Linked DNA regions of Kluyveromyces lactis. The protein of the gene in region 2 purifies or fractionates together with the protein of the main gene of each other region. This does not show direct contact. Links are inferred from orthologs where the notes say so. Each region holds a gene or a part of one and is shown on either strand. Other genes may lie near its edges. The genes, in order: CPA1 and CPA2.

Region 1 (12,544 bases), about 2.0 Mb from region 2:
TAGATTTTGTTGGTGTGGGTGTCGTTTCCTTAGCGACCCAGGATAAGTTACTCTTGGTAGAGGCATATAATGGCATAGTTTGCTTCGTACCGTCACCCGAAATTGCGACCATACCTGTTGGCTTTTTCCCGTTTTTCACAGCTTCATGCAACGTTGGAAATTTGGTCGAAGCTGGCTTTACACCTGAAAGATTTTTTACCTCCGAAGATACAGTCACTTTTGTTGATTGTTTGTTTGTTAACGGGGACTTCCTCATATGTTGGCCCCAAACTTTAGTCTTGTCTTCATTTGGCTTCTCCTGGAATTTGGCTTCCTCAGCCATCCGTTTAATTTTCTCTTTTTGAGTTTCCTTCTTTATTTTTATCTTGACGGTACTATTTGACTTGTTAGTCGTTTCACCAAGAGCAGGGAATGAATGTTCTGAACTATTTTTGCGAACCAGTAACCTGTTCCCGTCCATGTTGGTATGAATTTCATGCGCCGCTTTGTCATCTATCGAAGCAGCTCTTGTTATGCTGGATGGTCTTCGTTTCTTCTTCTTAGAAACCTCAACAAAAGTAGACTGATCATCGTCATCATCAATTGCGGAATCTGTCATGTTATATGACTTATTCCAAGCAATCGAATTCTGGGCTACAGCGCTTGGTTTTCTAATATTTACCAGATTCTCATTGATGGATGAGCTTCGTGTAGTTTTACTGATGCTGGGTTTCCTTACATCTAAACCACTCTTTTGTCTATGCTTTTTATAAATAACTGAGTCTACCAAAATCTCCAATGGATTTTCCTCCGAGATGAAATGAGAATTGAAAGCGACAATATTCTTTTCCAGTTGACGAATGTAATCTGACGCTTTCGGTCCATAATACCAACTTTCCTGTGAGCACATGCCTAATTCTGTTCTAAATTTTTGCTCAATGGATTTCCACATTTCTGATGTGATGTTTTGCATGATATGCTCTACGGTGTCAGAGCTAAATAAGACAGAAGGATTCCTGAAGATATACTCCTGACAGTTGGCGGCTAAATCCGGTAAATTAAGGTCGCTAGCTGCAATCCAGAAAGCAATAACATTGTTTGAATTAACTGATGATATCAACTGGCTTTCTATATGTTGGACTAACGTCAAAAGCATAAATTTATCTGATATTTCAAGCATGTGCAATAACCTATCGTGATACCTTTGATGTCCCATATTGAATGCAATTTTATCAAGTACCTGAGTAGATTTCTTTTGACAGGATATATTATAGATGCAATCAAGAATGCTTCTGCAGATATCATAAGAGAGATCTGTCCAGTCCACTTTATGATCGCTGAAATTAGCTGACCAGGTTTGAGAGAAAAGTCTTCTGAAATACATAGAATGGGCCTGTAAAATAAATGAGTAGGCCAGAACACTCTTACCGTCCTCTAAAAGAAGGGTGACATTCGGTGAGACTGGAAAATCAGGTTGTATTGAAATTTTGATGTTTCTTTCTAAAGTACTTGGTTGTGTAAAAAAACTCGGTAAGTAATAGACATCAATAAAGTTCTGAAGAGTTGCACAATTGAGAGCTTGCATATTTTCGTCGGAGACTGAATAATAACAAGAAATGCAGCTTTTGAAATAAATGCCGAAGTCCTCAGGTCCGAAGATCTCGAGCGTCCACACATAACCATTTTCTGTACTTAGATTCATATCAATAGCTTCTAATTTGTTCCTCCAAACAATTTTTCCATTAGTTATTAGTTCCAAGTAAAGCTTTTCCTGGGCGGCTGCAAGTATTGCCCTATGGCAAGATGTCAACCTTTTCCCATTAAATATCACATCAAGGTCATAATTGTCATTTAACTTAAGATTAGATTGTTGTTTAAAATCAGGTTCAGTAATCATTGCAGTATGTTCGGCTGTTAAAACATTGAATGAAGCAAACAATGGATCGCAAGATACCTGACAAGATGAGGCACCTGCCATACTATCTTGTAACTTGGTGAACTTACGACCTAACAAAGGACTTGAGTAAATATCACTTTTCGCAGTTAAAACAATAAGCTGCCCAGCACTGCCTATATCGAAAGATATACACTTATCCCAGGAGTACTTCGGCCTCCAGAAACATTGTGGTATAGGTGACTTTTTGAAATCCGGAATACAAGCAACGGTACCGTCATCATAGAGTAACATCAGGTTTTTACCATGTGAGTCTTTGCATTTGATATCAACTATTTGATGATCATGAAATTTTCGACTGAAAAACTTGTCGAAAGAATCGTGCAGTGAAGGTGTCGTTTTAACTGTCAATATTCTATAATTCGTAAGCGCAAATAGTCGATTTCCACCGCATAAAATAAAAGTAACGAGGTCTGTACAGACAAGAACAGTCGGCTCGTTTATATCAGCTGGTAAAAACGAGGTAACTGGTTGTGGCGAAATTTGTCCTTTTTGATCGAGATAAGGGGTCTCTTTTTTGAATTTACTAGTAGATCCAAATTGACCAACGTCTAATCCCCAAGATTTGATTGAACCAGATTTTGATAGCACGCATGTGTGTATATTCGAACATGCGATTAGATCATCTTTTCCGAGTCCAAGCTCTATTGAATTGGGTTGATCTGAAAACTCGGTGGTTTTAGGGTTTAAACCCAATTGACCATATTTATTGGACCCCCATAAAAGTATATTTCCATTGGTTGTTTTGGCAATTATATGATGATTGGAGCACTTGATATCTTGTAATTTCTTGTCAGAGAATTTTACATACCTGAAGAGATCTCTTTTTCCAAACAAATTTAATTTCGTAGAACGGCCAGTGATGTATGCTGAATTTGTTCCATCCTTGTCTACCATCAATAACAGAGAGTAGTATTTGGTCATACAGCATGATTTAAATCTTAGATCATTATCACACATCTTCCAAGAATCAATTTCATACCATGAGGTTAATCTATCATTATTATCACCGGTACCTAACTGCATGTTGACATTGGAACCAAAATTGAAACATCTGGAGTAGGATTTTCCACTCTTGACATCCTTATTGAGTAGTTTCCTCTTATACCCTGCCTTATTCATAACCATCGATTGCAATAGCAGTAAAGGTGACATACCAGATTTATCAGTTATTTGCCAGGATTTACCAGCATCATGCGGATCCTGTAGGCTTCTTGCGTACAACTTGTAACATTTCTCTAATTGGAAGCTTAGCATACACAAATGAAACGCAGTATATCCGCTCTCCCAATCTTGATCCATGAGGTTGATCCTTTTCAACTGTGAATCATTAGCAGCTGGCCACATGGACAAGTGATACGAAAGAGTTCTTCCCATACAATCTCTCACATCGGTCATAATATAGTTGCCTTTATTGACGTCCTCCCAACGGTCTGATATAGTGGATACTTAGGATGTTCTTCCAAAATTTAACGTTGTTTATAAGATACCTGATGAACTGAAGCTACTTTCTAACCCAGCACTGTGATGTGCCCCATACACGTTCCTCATTCATTTACTATATATACTTCGCATTAATCATATTGTAAGTTGCAAGATAAAGTTGTCCGGGTAACATTTTCGAGGAACACGATCAATACTCAATAAGTGCATAATAACCCATAATATCTCGTAACGTCGTGAGGATTGCGCGAACTTGGATAAATAAAGACTGAGAGTTATCCCAAGAGGTGAGTTATTATGTATCATGTAAAAGAGTAGTTATCAAAAAGTATAGAGAGTAGCGCTTGACCGCTAAGATAGAAAGTGTGATTTAAGAAAGTGAAAAGTTGAATAAATTAGAATACTCTCTCAGTCGCCAATGATGAAGTATTTAAGGTTAGCTTGACTTTTGGACCCTTCAAGGCTCTATACTGGGACATGTTATCGAAGTATCTGTCGAAAAGTACAGCAGAATCTCTCGGGCCTCCCTTAGCTTCCGGATGGAATTGAGTCGAGAAGATTGGCCTTGAGACATGAATCATACCTTCATTGGACTTATCGTTCAAGTTTTGGAAGAAAGGTTTGAACCCAGATTCTGGAAGAGTGTCAACATCAACAGCATATCCATGATTTTGTGAAGTAATGTGACATTGACCAGTGGTCAAGTCCAATGCTGGGATATTGTGAGCTCTATTACCATAACCTAGTTTAATTGTTTTACCACCAGATGCCAAAGCTAACAATTGATGACCTAGACAAATACCGAAGATTGGCAAATCTTGCAAGGTATTGGTCTCTAACAATTTCTTCAATTCTGGAACAGTAGATTCCATACATTGAACAGGATCACCTGGACCATTAGAAATGAAGATACCGTCGAACTGGTTTGCTACTGATGTGATTGGGTAGTCATATGGGAAAACAGTAACGTTAGCACCTCTTTCCACTAAACATCTAATAATGTTTTCCTTGACACCACAATCAATCAAAGCAACGTTGAATGGAGTTTTCACTGAGGACAATGCTTTCACAAAGAATGGTTTCTTTGTCGAGACAATCTTAACCAAGTCAGTTTCTGGTTTGATTGGCTTAGGGATAAAAGAACCTTGCACAGTAATTGTAGAAGGTGATGACCCTTGTTCTCTCAAAATTTGAACAACGGCACGAGTATCAATGCCACCAATGGCGGTGACGTTTTCCCTTTGGCACCATGTTGCCAAGCTTTCAACAGCAGTCCAGTGAGAGTATCTCCAAGCATACTCAGCAACAACAATACCGCGGACGTGAATGTGAGGAGATTCCAAGTACTTCAATAGGTTAAAGTCATCACGTTCTTCTCCACTAGGCACACCGTAGTTACCGATTAATGGTTGCGTAAAGACGAGGATTTGACCCTTATAGGATGGATCTGTCATCGACTCCGGATAGCCAACTAAAGAAGTGGTGAAAACGGCTTCACCACTGCATGAGACAGGAGCACCGAAGGAATAGCCTTGGAACTCGACAAACCCAGATTCCGAATCTGGATTTGAATTATTATAAATGGCAAATTTAGCTTTAGGAGCAGTACTTTTGAAATTAGGCATTGTTATTTTTCCAGATATGGTCTTGAATGTAGTCTTGGCAAGTGTATGAAGAGAAGCAGAGTCTAAACATACAACTTAAAAAAGAGTGGGATAAAGGTTTTTTGAGATTTAAGCTCTGGCTCAAACAATCAGAGCAATAAAATTTCTTTAACGAAGAATGGGAATTGTTAGTTGAGAAGAGATATAAATTCAAAATTCTCTAATAATATGATAGCAGATTTCGATTGATGATCAAAATTTTTAGCAATCGTAAAGTCTTGACTATCAAGTTTTCAGTCCAGTCTATGTGGGTTTCGTTTGCAACAGCTGAGTACGGTTTGTGGAAGAAGTTTATAATGTTCTCTGGAATTGCACTGAACTGTCAGAAAAGAGATAAAAAAACTTGCTATGGTTCTTGTATTTATATCACTATGGCTCTTATATTTTATCATAAAAGAAAAGCTTTATTTAATTCTCATCGCATTTCTTGAGATAGTGATGCAATTTGAATGTCATCTCGAATTTGCATCTCGGTGACTAAATAGAAAAGAAACGATTTCCCTGTGAAAAAAAAAAAAATTAGCGAGTCCTCCCATGTTTGTATGTAATATATGGGTTTGGGGTTTGGTGGAGGGTAACTGAGAATTTGGTGTTTCTGTTGTTCAACCAAATGCACGTGACTTGTTTAGATTATCATACACACTTCCGTTAAGTTCGTAGAGGCAGAGAGAAACAACATAAATAGGATTAGTTATCATCATTACGTTATTATTGATATTAGATATACTGTAGCTATTACTTAAAGGATTAAAGTCATTAAAAATTGAATTTTATTGTTCGAATTTGTGGTTTCATATTCTACGTCCAGGCACGGCAGCAAAGATTGCTGTCAGTATTGCCGTCATAATCAAGACCAATAGTAGGCACCAGAGGGCTCGTCTTATCATTATTGAGTTCACAAACGGATGTTTTACTTTGCATAATCTAGATCTGCCTCCAAAAATAGTTAACCACCAGGGCACCTCGTTCGAAGAGTGAAGTGAATTTGAACGATGATTATTCATCGATCTTAGTTCCAGGTCATCAAGTTTACGTTTTGAAACTAGTGTTTGAGTAACTCCACTGAATGCGTAGATGATATCTACTAAGTAGATACCACATATTATGTAGTAAGATCCCAAAAAAAATGGAACAATGCATACCACCCTTATTCCCTTCGAGTAGTTCATAAATATTAGTGTATAACCAATCCAAAGCCCTACCAGCCACCATGCGAGTCCAATAGTAAGTCTGGAGGCAGTAGACCATTGGCTGAAGGGAGAGTTTGAACGAGAGTTGTATGATTTATTTTTCTTAGGTCTTTGCAATACAATCTCATCATGTAAATTGTGCAATGCAACGCATCCTAAGAATCTTGGGAAACAGTCCACTTCTAAGAATTGATAAACAATTTCTTTAATTGGTTCGAACACTTCAGGGTCATGTCTCTTCTCTTCCATAATAAGCCTTATCGTATCGTTTCTTAAATATGCTGGAATTTCAAATAAAAATCTATCACTTTGTTCTTGAGAGAGTAAGTAGGTGGATACAATATCTTGTGCACTTGATATTAGCTGCTTTGTGGTGAGCTTTGGTTTATGATCCTTCGTAACATTACTCTTGACTAACCCATCTACGAAATCGCTGAAATCAATTTGATCGTTGTTCACTTGTTTCCAGTCCTGCAATAGCTGAGATAAACGAGGAGAGTCCGTTTCACCTTTCAAAAACTGACTCACACGCTGTGAGTCATTATAATCCAAGTAACCATCATTCATTAGTGCCTCTAGAAGCATTGCCGATGATACTGATTCTCTCTTGTCATCTCCATTACCTTCTTGCAAAACAGTAGGAGTTTCAAGCTTGTTAACATCAAGAACAGACTCTCGTATACCCTTCACATAATCTTTGCACAATCGCAGATATGCCATCACATCAGTCCAAAAATCGAGATACACTATGGCATGGGGGTATTGGGACAGGTAAGTATAGAAGGACCATAAATCCAAAGGCGCAGCGGTTTGTTGGTTTAATACTTCATATAGAGTGGGTAAGCGGGCTCGCTGGGAATTTGGCAATTTTTCCATGACTATTGCTCAGCGGTTTGCTAACACTGGAATGGCTTCAAAGTGCTGTTAAGATGTCCGGTATTTCAATAGGAGCAGTTTCTTTGAATATACTGTGACAACAACAACTACGGACTGGTTGAAAGAGATAAATTATATTTCTCAGATAACGTGTAAGGTGCCACTTGCCTGTTAATTGAAGTATTTCGACGACCGTTAGCTACACAAACTGACCGTTAGCAATTGAGTAGGAATTGGTGAGTTGTCAATATGTCTTTCTCATCTCTGTATTTTAGAATGAGTTGAGTTTCAGTTTCATGCTTTTTTTTTTTTGTAAGGCCAGATCAAGAATTTTTCTCGATTAGGAAAAACCAGCATGTAATTTGCATCAACAATGGGTCTAATAGTTTGGAAAGGATGGGAAATCAATTCCAAGTATTCGATACTCGAGAATTATATGGGCAACTTTCTTACTAAAACAACTTAAAAATATCCATAATTATTTACTGGCTTCCATCTTTCATCATTAGAAGGGCCTTATACGTGACTTTCGAAACTTCATTATAAAATCGATAAGTAATGGACATAGAATCGTTGATTGACTTACATATAACATCAGTAGTAGATTACACGGTTTAACTTCGTAAACCTGGGGAAATTTTATGCATTACTATTTAACAAATGCTGAACAAGCTTCATGATTTCTTCGTGAAAGAAAGTATACATGGATGATGAAGCTGACGTAATAAATACGTAGCTCAGTATTCTGTCACATCGAACTTGCATGCTAAAACTCACTTTATTAATATGTTACAATTATAAGACCATCCATACTGTCCCCAATACAAGAACACCAAGCACAATTGTAGTAATAATACCTGCACCGGCTTTGTCTCCTGCTGTGATGTTGATGTTCTTCTGTAAGACATTTGTGGTACTGACGTTTAGACCGGCACTAGCATCACCACTGGAAGACCCACCAGTGCTTTCAGTTAATGGCGCTGGTAGATCGTGAACAAGCAATTGGTTAATGATTTCCAAAGCGCACGCCTGTTCACCAAGACCATACTGCCCATCCCAATCACCAGTAAACCAATTTAATCCACAGGTATGGCCATCAGTACCACCGCTACATGATTTGGCTGCTGCTGCTGCACTAGTGTCTATGAGAGGGGTTATTGTATCCGTTGTGAACGGAGCCAAAACTGAAGTATAACCTAACATTCTTGAGAAAATTGCTTTAAAGACACGCTGATCTGTATTACATTTGTTTGAAGCTTGGCATGTACTTTCATACATTATGTCATCTTCGAAAAAGAATGAAGTGGCCCCACCTAAAATTTGTTCGGTACGTGTCTGCCAGACATCAGACCCATTTGTTGCATTGTACATATACGCGCATCCGCCAAGAACAACACCATGGTTATAGCTCCATTCGTATTTCACAATGGAAGTACAGTTATCGTCGATAGTCGCACCATCGAAAACATTGGCCTCTTCCTTCATTACTACGAAATCAATATCGACAAGCCAATCGAAGACCTTTTCTGCTACCTCCAAATAAGTAGTGTTACCCGTATATCTTCCGAGTCGTGCTGCCAATTGGAAGAGACAACCATTGGAAATTGTGTTCTTATAATTGTATCCCGAGTTCCAGGTAAAGATTTGCCATCTTAAGCCACCGTTACAATGGTCTGAATCCCAACGTGAGTACATTTGATTGAAAACAGCTTGTACCATGGCCAACCAGCCAGGTGTGCCGTCTTCCTTCGGATTTGTGAAATTTCTTTCCACGGCAGTCATTACTGTCAAAGCCCAAACACCTTGATCATCATTACCTTCCACCATAGTTTGATTACTTGGCATGTAATCATAATCGGACCCAGTTTGTGCCATCAAAGCATCGTAAAGCATATCTTCATACGATGTATTTTGACATAGATACCAATTTTCAATCATACCTCCGAAGACAAGTCCGGCTTCCCACCAATAGTATGGCGATACAAACATACCGACAGTCCCACCATATACGTCACCTTCATAGTAATCACTAATACCTTGTTGAATCAAAGCAGTTGCTGTACATATCGACGACTTGGAACTAGTGTCCAAATCAATCGCAAGGACGGATACTACCGTTAAAAACAAGCTGTACAACGGACTAATCTTCATTATGATTTCCCTAGCGATGGAGGTAAATATAATAATAAGGACTTAGACCCCGGAAGTGAACTTAGCAGCCTGATTTGGTGTAATAAATAGCAGAATATCCGAGGATAGGTGAAAGAACGCTGAATAATTGTTTTCCTCGTCAGATACCAATTGCTTACTATTGGTATCTTCTGTCTAAATTTCAAATGCCACTGTTTATTAATTATTGAATATCTCACAACAGAAGAGGGCTTCAGTTATCATTAAGTATAAACTCTGTGGGTTGGTTTCCTGCTATTTCTGTTTTTAGAAATGTCAAATCAATGCCATTATTTTGCACGTGATATGGAAATATTTCATGATGAGCCCCATTGGTATTTAACTAGGGTAACCGGAAAATCATGTAGGGCAGAATCAGATGCGTTCCTATTGCAGGAATATCAGGTTTCAAGACCATACCGATTTATCTTGCATTGCCTTTGTTGAAAAGTATTGACAGGCATCGCAGAAATTTACCTGTAAATTACGATGTATTATACAAAATTCCTAGCTAGCATTTATCAGCTGACAACTCTAGAGCTGTATTTTCTGAGGTGGTATAGGTGACCGAGATTTAAAGATGTAATAGTGATGATATTATGTATGTTAATTGTTATATGACTGCAAGCCCAAACACCACAGATCCACCATATTTTTTACCATATGTTGGCATAAGTTTCAAATGGGCTCGAGTTTATCCAACATGGACCTAACAATAAAGCCATGTGCCATAGACACAGGCAGCATGTACACCCTGCCAAAAAAATTGTAGGTAACCACACTGGTGGCTATTCTGAATTCATTTCTCAGGTCATCGTGGTTCTTGATTTGCAATGCTACCAATACACTTAAATGCTTGTCAGTAGACTTCAAAAATAGTTCATCATCCGACACTTTGACAACGTCGAAGAAATCTGCTTTATCGCCTACTTTTAGCGGCTTCGCAGAACCCTCAAAACCCTTAATCGACTGTATCCCACCCAACCACTTACTAAGAAAATCTCTTGTTTTGAATGCCGTATCCAACCACAAAGGTACGTTGCTTGTCATCAATTGATAAGCTTGAGTGGTTGTCATCTGCTTATCAATAAGCTTCTGATCTTGATGGATGTAATTTAAAGTGTTGAGCGGAGCAACCAGAGGTATTAGGTCTTTTTCTGTGTTTGTTGAATTCGACATACCTGTATGAGAGTCGCAGAACTGCTTTCACTAATCAGTGGATTTTGTTTGATGAAGTAAAATGGCCTACAGTATTTGCTTATCATTCCAAGAAATGTTCACAAAGTGGGGGAGATCTCAGACATTCGAACTACTTTCTTATTGAATACGACCAAATATATTTTCTTATAATACTTTTTGACCATAGATGTTCAATATGAACTCGACGGTGGCTTACAAATAGACTGATTTCGATCAACTCTTATTGGTGAAGACTGCTTGGTAAGCAACTTACTAATATATACTTTCTGTTCTATCTACAGTAAAGAGGGCACTGTTTGGATCCAGTTTGGGAAATAGCTGATGCATTTAAAAGGTTATCAAATGTATGTGTGCGTTGTCGGATCTTAAGTATTGCATTCGACTAGAAAAAATTAAGCCACCTTAATAGCACTAGTGACAGGTGAGAAACGACCAGCAGGTTTTTCTGGCAGTACTGTTTCCTTTTGGTACATGCTGAAAGGTGTATGGATATACAATTCCAGCACGAACGTTACCGGATATTTTCGAATTCTTGCCCAATGCTGCCATGATTGGTTCACACGCTACCAGAGATCGACACTGGAAAGTGATACAATCAAAAACACATTTTGGTTATTTCTCAATGCACTTGAAAGGCAATAATGATTCGGTACAGCTCTAGGACCTTAGTGGCTAACTTGCTACTAAGAAGGTATTTCAACGGTGTATACTAATTTATTGGACAGAAATCAAAAATATGTGACATTAATATACAGACATGTAGGATAGAATTCACTGTATGGAGTTTACACAGTCTTATAATACATAAATGAGAGATCACTTTTCAGTAATGTTAAAATCATTCATCGTAGTAATTGTTGCTGTATTCCTGGAAAAATCGTAGAATATTGTCATGGAATAGGCCAGACACGGATTCTGGGAATCTGGAATTGACTTCATTCTCTACTCTGGTGATACCCAAATTCTCAACAACTTTTGCCATGGCATCTAAAAGTAACATTGAGAATTCTGCATACCAACGGTGGCTCCAACAACAAAGCTTGACGCAAATAGTTATGATTTCTAGATCAGTATCCTCAGAAGGGTTTGATTCACGTTCCATTAGTAGAATCTGTAGTAACTTTCTTGAGGACTGAGAGCTAAATCTTTTCTGTAGGCCATTTTGGAACGCAGCCTTTGCGCTTTGGAATTGTCTCAAACGGAAGCAACATAATCCAATTAATTCCCACTCTAAGGTTGTTTCTGGCTTCAATTCATTGGATTGCCATTGAGAATGGACCCTTAAATCATCATATAACAACATGAAGAGATTATCAAACCACCTTTCACATAAACGCTTCCCTCTTATGTCCCGAGTTACTTCTTTTTCTGATTCGGTTTCGGAAGTGGCGTCCAGATGATCATATTCTTCTTCCATTAAAAATAGTTCAGCTCTTAATTGTAATAGTTTCTCCCATCCTAAACTTTTCACTATTTCACATAGAAGTTCATAGATCCATTGAAATGTGTTTTTCAAATTGGCAGACTTTAAGTTGTACAAGACGGGGTTAACAATCTTATGTTCTTCCATTACTAGAAGTGAATTGAGATTAGTGACTTCGTCTAATACGACATCTAAAGGGAGTGGGAGGTGTAATTCAACAGTAGCATTGTTTCCATCAGTATTCAAGATTCTTCGATACTGATATTTTTGTGCTAAGGATGCGAGGTTCATTGGTAATGAATTTAACGATAACAAGGCGTTTTTGTTATCACCTAACGCAATGTAAGACTTAACCAAATAAAACCAAGGCATGAAAGCATTCGGGGTCAAATCAACACCACGTTGACTTGCTTCTAGTGCTAATAGTGGATCGTCGTGTTTCAGTAGGTATTTTGCTTGTAGGAGCAACAATTCACATTGATAGGTTGGATCCTTAATTTCCTGTAATGTATCATGGATCAATTTTATTCCATCTAACTCTTTATCATTAGTCAAATAAATTCTTGCAATTATAATGTTAACTAGTGGACCAAAAGCTTCCTTCAATTCATGCAACATTGGTAGGCATAAATCAATGGATTTTGTG
Region 2 (13,743 bases):
TTAATTTAGTAATACCTTACACTTCCAGAGAAAAGCCCGGTACTTTCCAGTTTGCCCAGAATTTAGCAGTCAAACGGAGTCTTTTTGAGTCTTTTCTTCCAAAATCTTACAAACATTATGATCTAGCAAGAAAAACATCACAATTTCATGTCCTCTTTCTTGAGCGGATGGGCTTGCTGTATCTATTTTGGTTATGACAACCTGCAAAATTAGGAGAAGTCACGTGCTATTAAGTTTGGTAGCGCCCAACAGTTCAGCATCAAGTGCATGTATTCCGTATCCACAGATAAGTAACCAAATGCCTGTTAATGTTCACCTACGGCTTGACAGGTAATATGTGTTTAATTTTAGATGTGAGATGTCCCCACAAATGCGTTGGCATGTTGCATCACCTGCATTAGCTTCTTACTTGGCCACCCATTATGTTACCCGGTCACTTTTCATGGAGGCCCTCAAATAGCTGAGGTATTGAATGTCTGAAACTGGGAAACAGCGCCTAAAGTAAATACGAAAAGTTACCCGCTCTTTTGAACAACCTCAAGACTTTCGCAATAAAATACCAGAAGAGGCAGTGGGTCTGCAATAAATGGAGATCTTCAAAATTTTCCGATAAGCTCACCAGAACTCAGCGCAATGGTTTTGTCGCTTACTGAAAGGGCACGAACAGTTTTCAAAAAATAAAAAAAAATGATATGAGCTTCCTCTGTTACTTCCACTGGAAAGTCACGTGACAAATACCGACTATTTACCTTCAGAATCATAGTTAATATAGTTGACAACCGGTTCGAGTAGCCAATTCCAGAATTTCTCTACCTAGTTCCTCTGTTCATTGTCGTTATGTCTGATACAGGTTATGCATGTACAAATTATTATACGACAGATGGAGTCACTTGCAAACCTAATACGTTGACGTTGATGGTCTCCTCCGGAACTTCGGAATCTGCATTGAACGTTACGTAAAAAATTGGAAAATAGTCTAAAAAAGAATATGCCAACTGCAGGAGTATATCATATATATATTTGGGGAGGATCCATACGCAGTTGAATAGCATTGGATTCTGGGAGGTGTCTTTAAAGGTTTGTTAACATTTCGATATCTCATGTGTGAGTGAAGTAAACTTCTTTTAGATATGTCATCCGATTCAATGGGTGTAAAGGGAATTGATGGGCAATTAACACAAGCTGCAATGTCAAATATTGAAACTATCGAGTTGAAAGGTATTAATGAACAAAGGACGAGGAAGAACGTTATCGGATCAGAAGTAGGTATAAATATAAATGAACTACAGCCCGTCCAAAGTTTTGATAATGATGACGGAGGTTCAGATGCCTATACAGATTACGATGACGATGGTTTTACGTATGCTGAGGGAGGGATCGCAGCTTGGCTAGTTGTTCTTGGCTCATTTTTAGGTATTTTACCTACATGGGGGTTGTATTTTTCAGCAGGTGTCATTCAAACGTACGTTGCACGTCACCAGTTAAAGGATGAGTCAACATCTACAGTATCGTGGATTTTCTCTGTTTCGAGTTGTTTGTTATTAGGGACAAGTGTCTTCAGTGGGATGTATTTTGACAGATATGGTGCTAGAAAACCTTTAGTGATAGGTACAGTAATGACCGTTGGGGGTGTATTGGCAGTAGCACAATGTACTAAAGTGTGGCAGTTTATTCTTGCATTGAGTGTTTGCGTTGGCACAGGATCAGGTATTACGTCTAGTCCGTTATTGGGATGTATCTGTCACCATTTTCAGAAGCGAAGAGCTATTGCCACTGCAGTTGCCATTAACGGTGGGAGTATTGGTGGTGTTATTTTCCCATTATTCTTAGAAAAATCGTTTAAAAATTTGGGGTTCGCCTGGACTATGAGAATTATGGCTTTAATTTGTGGAGTATGTTTGACTGTTTCGATGTTTTTAATCAAGGAAGACCCCGAGAAACGTGCGGCTGTCGAACCGAAAGATGCTAGCACTCCTTTCCACAAGAATTTACTTTACAACATAAGAGATTCCTTTGATTACAAGTCTATAGTATCCGATCAAAAGTATCTGTTTTGTGTTTTAGCTTCGTGTTTGGCTGAGGTATCTACTGGTGCCGTTTTAACCTATATCACATCTTACTGTACAACGGTAGGGTATTCTGAGAATACTTCATTTTTACTTGTCACCATTTTGAACACCTTAAGTATTGTCGGGGGATACATGTTTAGTTTTTTGGCTGATAAAGTGATGGGCAGATTTAACGTCATGATCATGATCAATTTCTTGTTAGGATTTGTCCCGCTAATATTTTGGTTACCTTTCGGAAACATAGGTCCTTCGGTAATGTACGGATTTTCCGCAGTCTATGGTTTGTTTTATGGGTCATTGATTAATCTCGCTCCAGTCTGCTGCGGTCAAATTTCAAGGACAAACGAGTTTGGAAGAAGGTATGCAACAATGTATTGTTTCGTTGGTCTTTCATTTCTAGTTGCAATTCCAGTCTCAGGTGTTATCATCGGTGATGGTTCCTTAAAGAATTATAACAACTTTATCATCTATGTTTCTGTATTGTCCATGATTTCTAGTGGTTTATATACGATGAGCAAATGTTACGCGGTTAAACAAAAGCTTAATAGATCACCTAGAAATGCGCACAATAATACAATTCTATCTTCTGTATTTGCTTTTGTTACAAAGAAATTCTGAACTTTTACATCTGGCTTATATCTAATTTGCATCTTTCCTTATGTTACCAATTTTTATTCCTTTTGAGCTATTGTTTCCTCTGCCAATTAGTCAAATGTCAACCGATAACAACAGTTCTTCATGAGTCATTGGGATATAACACTGAACGTATTGAGTCAGTACTAGTTTTTACTGTGATTATAAATTTTGTATATATACATATTACGCAATGTCATTAAAATCGTTACATGGATTTGTGGAGGAAGCACCGCTCACCCATTATATTGAAAGAAGAGGAAAATAGTCAACTCTGTGATACGGCCCTCACTTTCTCTGTCTTTTAATACCGTGAAGCTCATTAGGAGGATCTGAATTGGAATTGGAATATGTTGTATTTGTCACCATCTTCGAATCTGAACGTTCTGATCTATCTCTTTTAAGGTTGTCATCTGTTATTTCCTTGATAGGTGGTAGAGCCGGCAGTTTTTCAGGTTGTAGGCTTCTGGTATACATTTCAGAGTTGATGATTTGCTGAGTATCATCAGTTTCCCAGTCGCTATTATCGGGTTCCTCCAGGTACCAGCCATATGGATCGTTTTCATCCATGTTGCACTGCCAACTAGGTTTTCAGAAGTGTCTTGGTATTGCCTCAAATCACACTTTCTGATTAAACCTAATCAGCGAAGGTAGCAGTAATTTGCTATATTAGAACACTGTTGTAGGGAAGCATGAACGTATCACAGCTCAATAACTACACTTTTAGGGACTTAATCAACGTCTCAGGTATTTAATATGATAGATACAATTCTACTTCGTTAGCATCTTTCAAGGCACTTTTCTTTTTTTTTTACATCAAAGGTGAACTCTGGGGTTTTTTCAACTATATTGTATGGCTCTTTATGGATCTCTAACTACAACCTTAGAGACAACGACTACAGTATCGTTGAAAAATCGAATAACATTTATCAAGTTTATCATCTATGTATTATTAAGAAATATGTTCGTATATACAAACTTTTTGGTGTAATACCAATTAAGAGAATTATTATTAATTTATTTTGATTTTGAGATTAATTTGAAGGATAATTAAATTGGTTTGCAGTGTAAGTACTCACTCCAGGTACGGACTTCATGAGGAACAATAACATCCTTAGATTCCAAAACCTTCACCTTTTCTGCAATCTTCAGACTCATAGCTTTCGCAAATAGCATAGCAGTTTGTGGCTCATTGAATAATGGAAGGGCAAAGTCAATAGCATTTCTTCTCATGATATAATCTACATCTTCTAGGCTCTCTGCTCTCTTGGCGGCAAGATTGAATACAGCACTGATATCCTTGGCTTGGAAGAGTTCACGCAACTTTCTCTTGTCATTTTTTGGGAATTCGATTAGTTCGACTGAAACGCCCTTGCTGAACGTCTCCAAATATTTCTTGGTATCCTCATTGGTAGCATATAACTTGTAACCCAATGGTGCAACATATTTCACCACTTCACCTAGATAGTTCTTAGATAGGTCACCCCCGAAGAGAATACCACTTGGTGGGAGAGGAACATTGAAATTCATTGTACTTTGAATAGCAGTCCAGTAACTCTCTAACGCATTGCTACCGAAGGACGCAACCTCACCGGTGGATGCCATCTCGACACCTAAAAATGGATCAGCTCCGGCTAGTCTGGTGAAAGAAAATTGTGGAACCTTGGTTGCAACATAGTCATATGCTTTGTCCATTAGATTTACAGGTTCGGGAACATCCTTGCTCAAAAATGCTTGAACAGCTGCTTCTATGAAGTTAACACCTAAAACTTTTGAGACAAATGGGAAGGATCTGGAAGCTCTGATATTACATTCAATGACCTTCAAGGAAACACCTTCATCTCTATCATCTTTGATAATTTGCATGTTGAAAGGACCTGTAATATTCCATGCCTTTGCAACTTTGTCAGCAATCTCTTTCAATCTATCTTTGATATTTTGAGACAGATTTTGTGGAGGTAGGACTAACGTTGCATCACCAGAGTGAATACCAGCGTTTTCTACGTGTTCAGAAATAGCATGAACTAATACCATACCATTATGTGCTACAGCGTCCACATCAATTTCTTGAGCACCTTCGATGAACTTAGACATAACAACTGGATGATCTGGAGAGACGTCCGAAGCTGTGGTAAGTTTTACTTCAAGTTCGTGCTCACCAGTAACAACACTCATAGCAGCACCAGACAACACGTACGATGGACGAATTAAAACCGGGTATCCCACTTGATTAGCGAATACTTTAGCTTCTTCAACAGAAGACAACTCACTCCATTCTGGTTGATTGACGCCGATAGAATCCAGAATAGTTGAGAACTTGTGTCTGTTTTCAGCCTTGTCAATGTCTTCAGGAGAGGTACCCAATATGTGAGCACCATTGTGAAGAAGTTTCAAAGCGATGTTCTGTGGAAGTTGACCACCAACGGAGATGACACAACCTTCAGAATTCTCCAACTCGTAAATATCCATGACACGCTCGAAAGAGAGTTCTTCGAAATACAATCTGTCAACTTCATCAAAATCTGTGGAAACCGTTTCAGGATTGTAATTTATCATAATAGTTTTCTTCCCTTCTTTTCTGAGGGCCTTTGTGGTGTTAACAGCACACCAATCGAATTCCACACTTGAACCTATTCTGTAGACACCTGAGCCGAGCACTAGAACACCATTATCAGTGAATTCGATATCACTCTTAGTAGCATTGTAAGTAGTGTATAAATAGTTTGTTTGAGCAGGGAATTCTGCGGCTAGGGTGTCAATTCGTTTGACAAACGGAACGATTCCAAAGGATTTTCTGTAACTTCTAACTTCTAATTCTGAGGTTCTTGAGTCACTACCCTTGTTCAAACATAGTGCGATTTGAGCATCAGAGAAACCTAGTTTCTTCGCTTCAAGTAGCAGTTCTTTGTCCAAAGATTCCAGGTCATTAACCTGTTCCAAATCTTTATACATGTCGACTATGTTCATACACTTGAATAGGAACCATGAGTCAATTTTGGTTAATTCATGGACCTTTTCCACCGAATATCCTTCATGGATCAAAGCTTGTCCGACAGCCAACCATCTTCTATCGGTAGGTTCACTCAAAGCATTGTCCAAATCATCAAATTCATCAGACCCTTGGAATCCAATGAATGAAGGGTCGATTTGTCTGATGGCCTTTTGGAAAGCTTCTTCAAAATTTCTACCGATTGCCATAACTTCACCGACAGATTTCATAGATGAACCGACGGATCTGTTCACGTGCTGGAACTTCGATAAATCCCAACGTGGGATCTTAGCGACAATGTAATCCAAAGATGGTTCGAAATTTGCAACTGTTGTCTTGGTGATTGGGTTAGGAAGTTCAGGTAAAGTGTATCCTAATGCAATCTTGGCGGCAGTATAAGCCAATGGATAACCGGTAGCTTTTGAGGCCAAAGCGGATGAACGAGACAAACGTGCATTCACTTCAATGACTCTATAATCTAAACTGTCTGGACTTAAAGCATATTGTACGTTACATTCACCGATGACACCCAAGTGTCTAATAATCTTGATTGCTGCGCTTCTCAACATATGGAACTCCTCATCGGATAGAGTTTGAGAAGGTGCAAAAACGATAGAATCACCTGTATGGATACCTAGTGGATCAAAATTTTCCATGTTACACACAGTAATACAATTTCCGACACGATCTCTAACCACTTCGTATTCCACTTCTTTCCAGCCCTTCAAAGATTTCTCGACAAGAATTTGAGGTGCCAAAGAAAGAGATTGAGAAGCTAATTGTTTCATTTCTTGAGCGTTATTAGCAAAACCAGATCCTAAACCACCAAGAGCGTAAGCAGATCTAACAATTACTGGGAATCCAACAATGTCAGCAGCTTCCAAAGCAGCATCAACGGTTTCACAGGCAATGGACTCAGCAGTTGGAATGTCGATCTCTTTTAGAGCTTGAGCGAAAAGGTCTCTATCCTCTGATGTTTCTAGAGTCTTAATTGGGGTACCCAAGACCTTAATGTTGTATTTAGCTAGTACGCCAGCTTTGTCCAAAGCGACACCACAGTTCAACCCTGTTTGACCACCGAATGTTAGCAAAATTGCATCTGGTCTTTCGCGTTCGATGATATAGGTAATATACTCCGGAGTGACAGGCAAATAATAAATCTCGTCTGCAAGAGAATGAGAGGTCTGATTGGTGGCAATGTTAGGGTTCACCAAAATTGTCTTTTTGTTAGCTTCTTTCAAAGCTTTGATAGCTTGAGAACCAGAATAATCGAACTCACCGGCCTGACCGATCGAAAGACCACCAGAACCGATAACAAGCACTGATTCCACACCTTCCACTAACTGTGGATTATATTCATCAGTGTTGAATGCCGATGTCGTGGGTTCGGTAGATGAATAGATACTAGTAGACATAGCGAGTAAAATGGTTGGGCTTCCTTGTAGTTGCTTCTTATACTCTACTATCGTTTTTTTCTTTTGGCAACGACTGATATCTTTTTTGATAAGAGCTATGCTGAAGTTTAAATTCCAATTTTGATATCAGTGTATTGCTCTTTATATATATATATTGCCCAAGCTAGTTGTTCCTTCTTATTTGCGATGAGTCAATAGGAAGATGTGATAAAGGTTCATCGAAACTAAATACTCAAATAGTGACGCTGAAAAAAATTGCCAAATCGATGAAAAAACAATAGAAAAAAACTAAAAAAAAAAAGTGCTATGATTCATTGTAAGAAACACTGTGCAGCTTTCTTTTCTTTTTCCCATCATATCATCATTGATTTGGTGATGTAATAATTGTGCTTGTGTTGAAAGCTAGAGAGAGTTCTTTCACTTCTTAAATTAAAATTTGGAAAGAGCTGTATATGCTAATTAAAGCTATATATCAAGATCTTCCAGAAATCCAAGAAATAAAGGACGAGTCAATACCGTTACGTGAAACTTTCTCGAATGCAAAAACAAACATCGGGCTATTGACACATAAGAAGAGACTCATCCTTGAATCATAAGACGCACTACGTTTTGGTATAGGTACCATTTACGTTTGTCTTCAGTAACACCGTAGTAAGAATGCTGTTTTCAAACTGGGGATAGTTTCGATTGTTCTTGCACTTAGAGGATGTAAAACCTCGAACTGGATTAGAACCTAAGTTTTCTGATCGTTTAGTGCAACACTCAGCGATGTGAAAGGAAAAGAAAAATCAAAGGAAAAAAAAAAACCAAAACCAAAAAACTGGCCAGTTACCCGGAATACCCGGGTAATACTTACTGTCTTCTAAAAATTTGTCATTCCGTGTATTTACTGACGCGTGTCAGAATAAATAACCAGCCACACAAAGAGTGTATGCCCTGGCATGTGTTAAGATCCATCTATACGAAAGTATACGAGATAGAGAAGTACAAATAGAAGAGAAAAATCAATCTTATGCCAACTCGTAGGATGATTAGGCATTATATAATGGAAAGATGATGGTGGAGGGAGCGAGCGATACTCACCATACAACAGTGTATAATGAATAGTCAATTGATGTCAGATACAGATAATATGAGCGAAGGAATATCATCATGTCAGGGTAACACTGAACAGAGAGATTCCGGGACTCAATAGCATGGTCAGGTGATGCAAATAATACTCTTAATGCTTGTATTATATTGCCAACTCCGATAAAAGTTTAACTGACAAGTATTGTTAGTAGGGAAGTGCGGCTGCTCGAATCGTTCTACCCACCAAGACTTCAGTCCGGGCTCCAGACGTGGGGTAGAAATGTGGATTAAACAGTATACGGTCTGCAAATGGCCGCCCAACTTGAGCTGCAACCGACTAGGGACCGCCTGAAGATGAACATATACGATAAAAGACAAAAACAACCAACCTCGATCACGTGATAATCTTAGACATCACTGGCATGTAAGAGGTAACCCTTTCGGCTCCGAATTGGTTCTTTTGAAGCTGACAACCACTGAAAATTTTCCCTGGTAACTCGAGAGACACATTGAAAATAATAAAAAACTGAAAAAAAAAAAAATCACCATAAGTATGCCATTGACCCGGAGATTTGGCTTCGATTCAGAACATTTTGGTAATGTTCCGTTCTTATTGGTCTCTTCGCTCCGTCTGATTTTTCAGCTTGCCAACTAGTTAGTCCGGACTCCGATTTGCCGGCTACTTAACCGCTATCCAACATTTCTCCTACTAGCCACTCTTCGGTTTATCTCTGCTTTCCCCCTTCTTTGAATTCATGCGAAACACAAAAAAAAAAGACATCATTCATTTTTCCCTTTCGCCCCTTTGCCTGATTGCTAGGTTCCTATCTACCTAGTACCACCAAAAAAAAAAAAGGCAGACTCAAAGGCCTTATGATTCTTTTAGAGAAAGTATCTCTATTGTAAAACATCCCATGCAGTTTGCATGGGAATATTCATAGAGTAAAAACCCATTAGTTTGATCCATATCGCCTAGAAAGCTCAACAGGAGGAGTAAGTAGCAGTTAAAGATCATTGGTGGATTCCGAGTTGATCATTGAACTTAACGGAGCATTTCTCATTTCTCACTGTATATACAGTTTTACGTACTTCCCATTCACTGTCCACTTATTTTGGTTGTTGAGTAGGGTTTTTTTTTGTTTTTTGGGTTCCCTTGCAGTCAATTCTCAGAGTTCTACAGTCCGAGCCTCTGCCCGTTAAATCAGTACTAGATGTGGGCCTAGTTTTTAGTCACTCTCTAATGGGATTTAATTTCGGTCTTTTTACGGGTTTTACTTATAACATAGATTTACAATTCTTTAAACTTTTGAATTTTAGGAATAAGATATATAAATGTGGGGTTTTAATTGAGTTTGATACTTGGGATTTCAACTAACTTATATCTGAATTCGTTTCTGAATTTTTTGCATATTTATCTCGTTTCCCCTTAAAGGTGAATCACAGATAAAGATAGCTTTAAAAAGTCGTCATATTTGTTTGTTTGAGGTATTAAATACTGCCAAAAGACAACTAGAAGAGAATAATAACGTGTATATTTATATTCGCACAGTCGGTTTACAGATCTTTTCGTCTTTTTATTTTGAATTATATCACATCATTCTACAGAAATGGCTTCGAAACAAAAATCTTCAAACCCAGCTGTCAATTTGATTGCTGGCGGTGGTGCGGGTCTAATGGAAGGTCTATGTTGCCATCCATTGGATACCATCAAGGTTAGAATGCAGATCTACAAAAATGCTGTTGGTTCCGGTGTAAAAGCACCAGGTTTCATCAAGACTGGTGGTGAAATCTATAGAAATGAAGGTTTCTTGGCATTTTACAAAGGTTTAGGTGCTGTCGTCATCGGTATCACACCAAAGATGGCTATTAGATTCTCATCTTATGAGTTCTATAGAACTTTGCTTGCTGATAAGGAAACTGGTAAAGTTTCTACTGGTAACACTTTCATTGCTGGTGTCGGTGCAGGTATCACCGAGGCTGTCGTCGTTGTCAATCCGATGGAAGTCGTGAAGATTAGATTACAAGCACAACATCTAAACCCTGTCGAAGGTGCTCCAAAATACAAGAACGCCGTGCAAGCTTGTTACACCATCGTAAAAGAGGAAGGTTTCAGCGCTTTGTACCGTGGTGTTTCATTGACTGCTGCTAGACAAGCCACCAACCAAGGTGCTAATTTCACCGTTTACTCTAAATTAAAAGAATTCTTGCAAGGTTATCATAATCAAGAAATGTTGCCAAGTTGGGAAACCTCATTGATTGGGTTAATCTCAGGTGCCATTGGTCCCTTCTCAAATGCACCGTTAGATACCATCAAGACGAGATTGCAAAAGGATAAATCTACTAAGAATATGTCCGGTCTCAAAAGAATTACCATCATTGGTAAACAATTGATCCAAGAAGAAGGTTTCCGTGCCCTATATAAAGGTATCACCCCAAGAGTGATGCGTGTGGCTCCAGGTCAAGCTGTCACTTTCACTGCTTATGAATTCATTCGTAAAGAATTGGAGAAGACCGGTGTATTTTGAATCGATCTAATTTATGGTTCTCACCATCATTTCTTTTCCTTCAATCATGCTCCTACTACCATTTCTCCCTCTCTCATTCAAGACTTCTCAATCATAATTATAGATTTTGATTATTGCATTAGAATTTTGATATATTCATAAAGGTGTTTTCCACAAACTAAGAGAATGGTTAAAGAGACAAAACTTCTTGAAGTATTTCAAGAAGAACTAAAAATATTCCCACGCATCATTACGTTTCTTCTGTTAAACCAATGAACAATTCACCCAATAAAATTCAGATTAATTATGAGACGCAGTTGAAAGATAACACAAAATGTTATGAGATGCTATAGTGTTTCCAATATTAGAATTCGCCAAAAGATCAACACACACACACACACTCTCTCTCTCTCTCTCTCTCTCTCTCTCTCTCTCTCTCTCTATCTCCACCAAAGTAACTCAACATTCATTCAAATTTTTCACAATTTGTATCAATATTATTATTATCATTATTACTACTTTTGTCTCTACCCTTCGTTAGAAACTGAATGTTTTAACTATAACATAGTAAGACATTTCTTGGTTTCTTATAGCATCTACTTAGGCTAAAGTATCGAATAAACTAAATAATTTCTAAAAAAAAAACTAATATCAACTTCAATTTAAATATACAAATGAAAATCCCCTTTATCATAGCGTCAGATTGAAATTTGCAGTTTTTATATGTGAACATGTCGCAAAGTAGTGATAATCTCCAGTATAACTCGTTCTGTGAAAATCTTATTCATAACTTCTTGCTCAATCAAGTTCATTTCTTCCATGGGATCCAAATCGAACAACGTTTTAGCATCGTTCTCATCCTGTGAGGTTCCATCCACATGTTGTTGCAAGTTTAATATTATAGGATCCGGTTCAGAAAAATCATTGTTACCTTCGGAATTCCGTTCTAACAATGATTTTACCAAGTCTGTTTTGGATCGGAAAAACTCTGAAATTAAGGAAATGTCAGATTGTATACTTTGAGTATCTTCAACACTCTGCAGTAAATTCGAGCTCACTTCATCGGTTTGATTATCTAACCATCTGGTCATATCATCACCCTTGGTGACATCATTTGTAACTTGAAAATCCGTATGGTACACCATCCCCATTAGCTGAGGAAAACCTAGAGTGCTAGGTTCTTCTTTGTCGTGGAATTCTATCTCTGAGGAATGTTGTGTCATTATTGTTGCACTGCTGTTTCACTGCTGTTTCACCGTATTTCTTACCTGTTGTTTCTTAATCAGTCAGTACCAACCTTTTCGAAGTAAATTATGGTCAAAAGAAATAATTAGTTCATTGTTAACTATATGGCTCTTTCGTTTGAACCAATGGTATTTAAATGAAAAGTTCTATTACTCTGATAAAGTTCGGGAACTGTCATTACGTTTCTTAAACAAGACTACTAAATCGACATTTGTAAAAATACTTGAAACTGTAAAGCCCTTACTGCGGAAACTCTTGTTACAACTTAGAATTATTTGAAACCACTACCTGATCGTCAGTACCTACATTTTGTATAGTAGTTTACAGGGTTTCGGTACTATTTCAAAATTTTCCATCAAAAATTAAGAAATCTTGACCCTTTTTTATTCTCTTGACACAATTTTTTTTAAGTAGGTTTATATCAAATTACGAAGGAAAAGAGCGTTAGAGGGCATTGTGCCTTAGGTTCTTGAAATGCAGCTATCACCATGAATATATATTACGCATATTTGTTTGTAGGACGACTAGTTCTATTATAGCGCCATTAATAGTGTGTTTTCGGGACTAATTGCAAAATTAATTAGTTGCCTGTGCCTTTTCTAAAGTTCCACCAACATAGTGTATTCGTGGCATTTACTGTGCCAGTGACCATTTCAAAAACTGTCCTGCTGATTTTCCTACTGACAGGGCATTCGTTACTGGAAACCAAGGATGGCAATAGCTGAAATGCTTTGAAAAAAAATTGAAACACAGAAGATAAGCAAAAGCAAATTTTAACCAATTAGCCGGGATTATAAGAACACAGGTGAGCTTAAGTCCGTTTTGTATTGGATAGGAAGAGTTACGTCTCTCAAGTTTTTTACCCCATGTTTTCCATTGATAAGTATTTGTACCAATATAAGACTGGGACGTATAGTACTCTATGAAAGTGTAATTCTCTTTAATAGAATCCAGAACCAAACCTCACTGACTATGGCGGACCGTAACCATCACGAGTTGCCATGAACGCTGTCCTATAAGCAGGTTCATTGCATCGTACGAAAACTGAACGGAACATCTACCGAAACAGCAGAAAAGGGAAAAAAAAAAAAAAAAAAAAAAAAAATACGAAGTCCGCCAAATTGCATAAAATATACATAGAAAGCCAAGAGCAACTGCAATGATGTGCTTTTTAACAAGATCTTTTACCGGAATTATTAAATTCAGAAGCTGAAAGGACAGAATCCAGTGTTTAATGATAGGAGAGCACAGAAAGATGTGCAGAGAGATGTTTTTAGTTGCTGTATATATTCCCTTTATTCTTTTTTCTCATCACTATACGCAAAGCTCGCTCAGCCAATGGTCCACTTGTATGCACGTACGTACACATTGTTACTTATGTTATTAGTTGTTTTTTGCAACGGTAGAATATACACACGAGATATATAAATATAGGTTACGGAGACTGCCATGCTATTGGTTTTTAAGGGTACATAAGAGAGTAAAGATTAAAAAAAAAGCTCTGTGTTAATTCGCTGCTTTAAAACTGAACAAGCTAAGTCAGTTACGTTGAATTAAGACTGTGTTTCGTCAGCGTTTTCTAATCGATCATAGAGATTAATTTACTGGTAAAGAGTCTTTGCTTTTAGTTAGTGTTTCTATTTGTTCTATTTTTGTCAAAATAAGTGGTTGAACATGGAACTTTCAGTGCCAAAATCTTACAAGTTATCTAGTGGCTACACTATCCCATCTGTGGGTCTTGGAACCTACGAGCTACCACCAAATAAGACAGCTTATCTTGTTCATCAAGCATTGGAAGTTGGGTACAGACACTTTGA

The links.
Region 1: the proteins of CPA2 (region 2) and CPA1 purify together in Saccharomyces cerevisiae (affinity purification with mass spectrometry, with the first as the bait; 3 studies listed by BioGRID). This does not show direct contact. The link is inferred for Kluyveromyces lactis from reciprocal best matches to the Saccharomyces cerevisiae genes CPA2 and CPA1.

The regions. Positions count from the first base shown.
Region 1 is NC_006042.1:2,314,027-2,326,570, forward strand, and holds CPA1 (carbamoyl-phosphate synthase (glutamine-hydrolyzing) CPA1), read right to left. Parts: upstream 5,002-12,544; coding exon 3,772-5,001; downstream 1-3,771. Other genes in the region: KLLA0_F24860g (uncharacterized protein), read right to left, coding at 1-3,331; RAX1 (Rax1p), read right to left, coding at 5,832-7,106; DFG5 (putative mannan endo-1,6-alpha-mannosidase), read right to left, coding at 7,902-9,257; KLLA0_F24948g (DUF2867 domain-containing protein), read right to left, coding at 9,954-10,454; KLLA0_F24981g (ChAPs family protein), read right to left, coding at 11,314-12,544. UniProt on the Saccharomyces cerevisiae protein: Small subunit of the arginine-specific carbamoyl phosphate synthase (CPSase).
Region 2 is NC_006042.1:293,131-306,873, forward strand, and holds CPA2 (carbamoyl-phosphate synthase (glutamine-hydrolyzing) CPA2), read right to left. Parts: upstream 7,107-13,743; coding exon 3,753-7,106; downstream 1-3,752. Other genes in the region: KLLA0_F03168g (uncharacterized protein), read left to right, coding at 1,131-2,687; KLLA0_F03179g (DUF5137 domain-containing protein), read right to left, coding at 2,991-3,272; SFC1 (Sfc1p), read left to right, coding at 9,785-10,702; KLLA0_F03234g (uncharacterized protein), read right to left, coding at 11,401-11,904; KLLA0_F03256g (aldo-keto reductase superfamily protein), read left to right, coding at 13,601-13,743. UniProt on the Saccharomyces cerevisiae protein: Large subunit of the arginine-specific carbamoyl phosphate synthase (CPSase).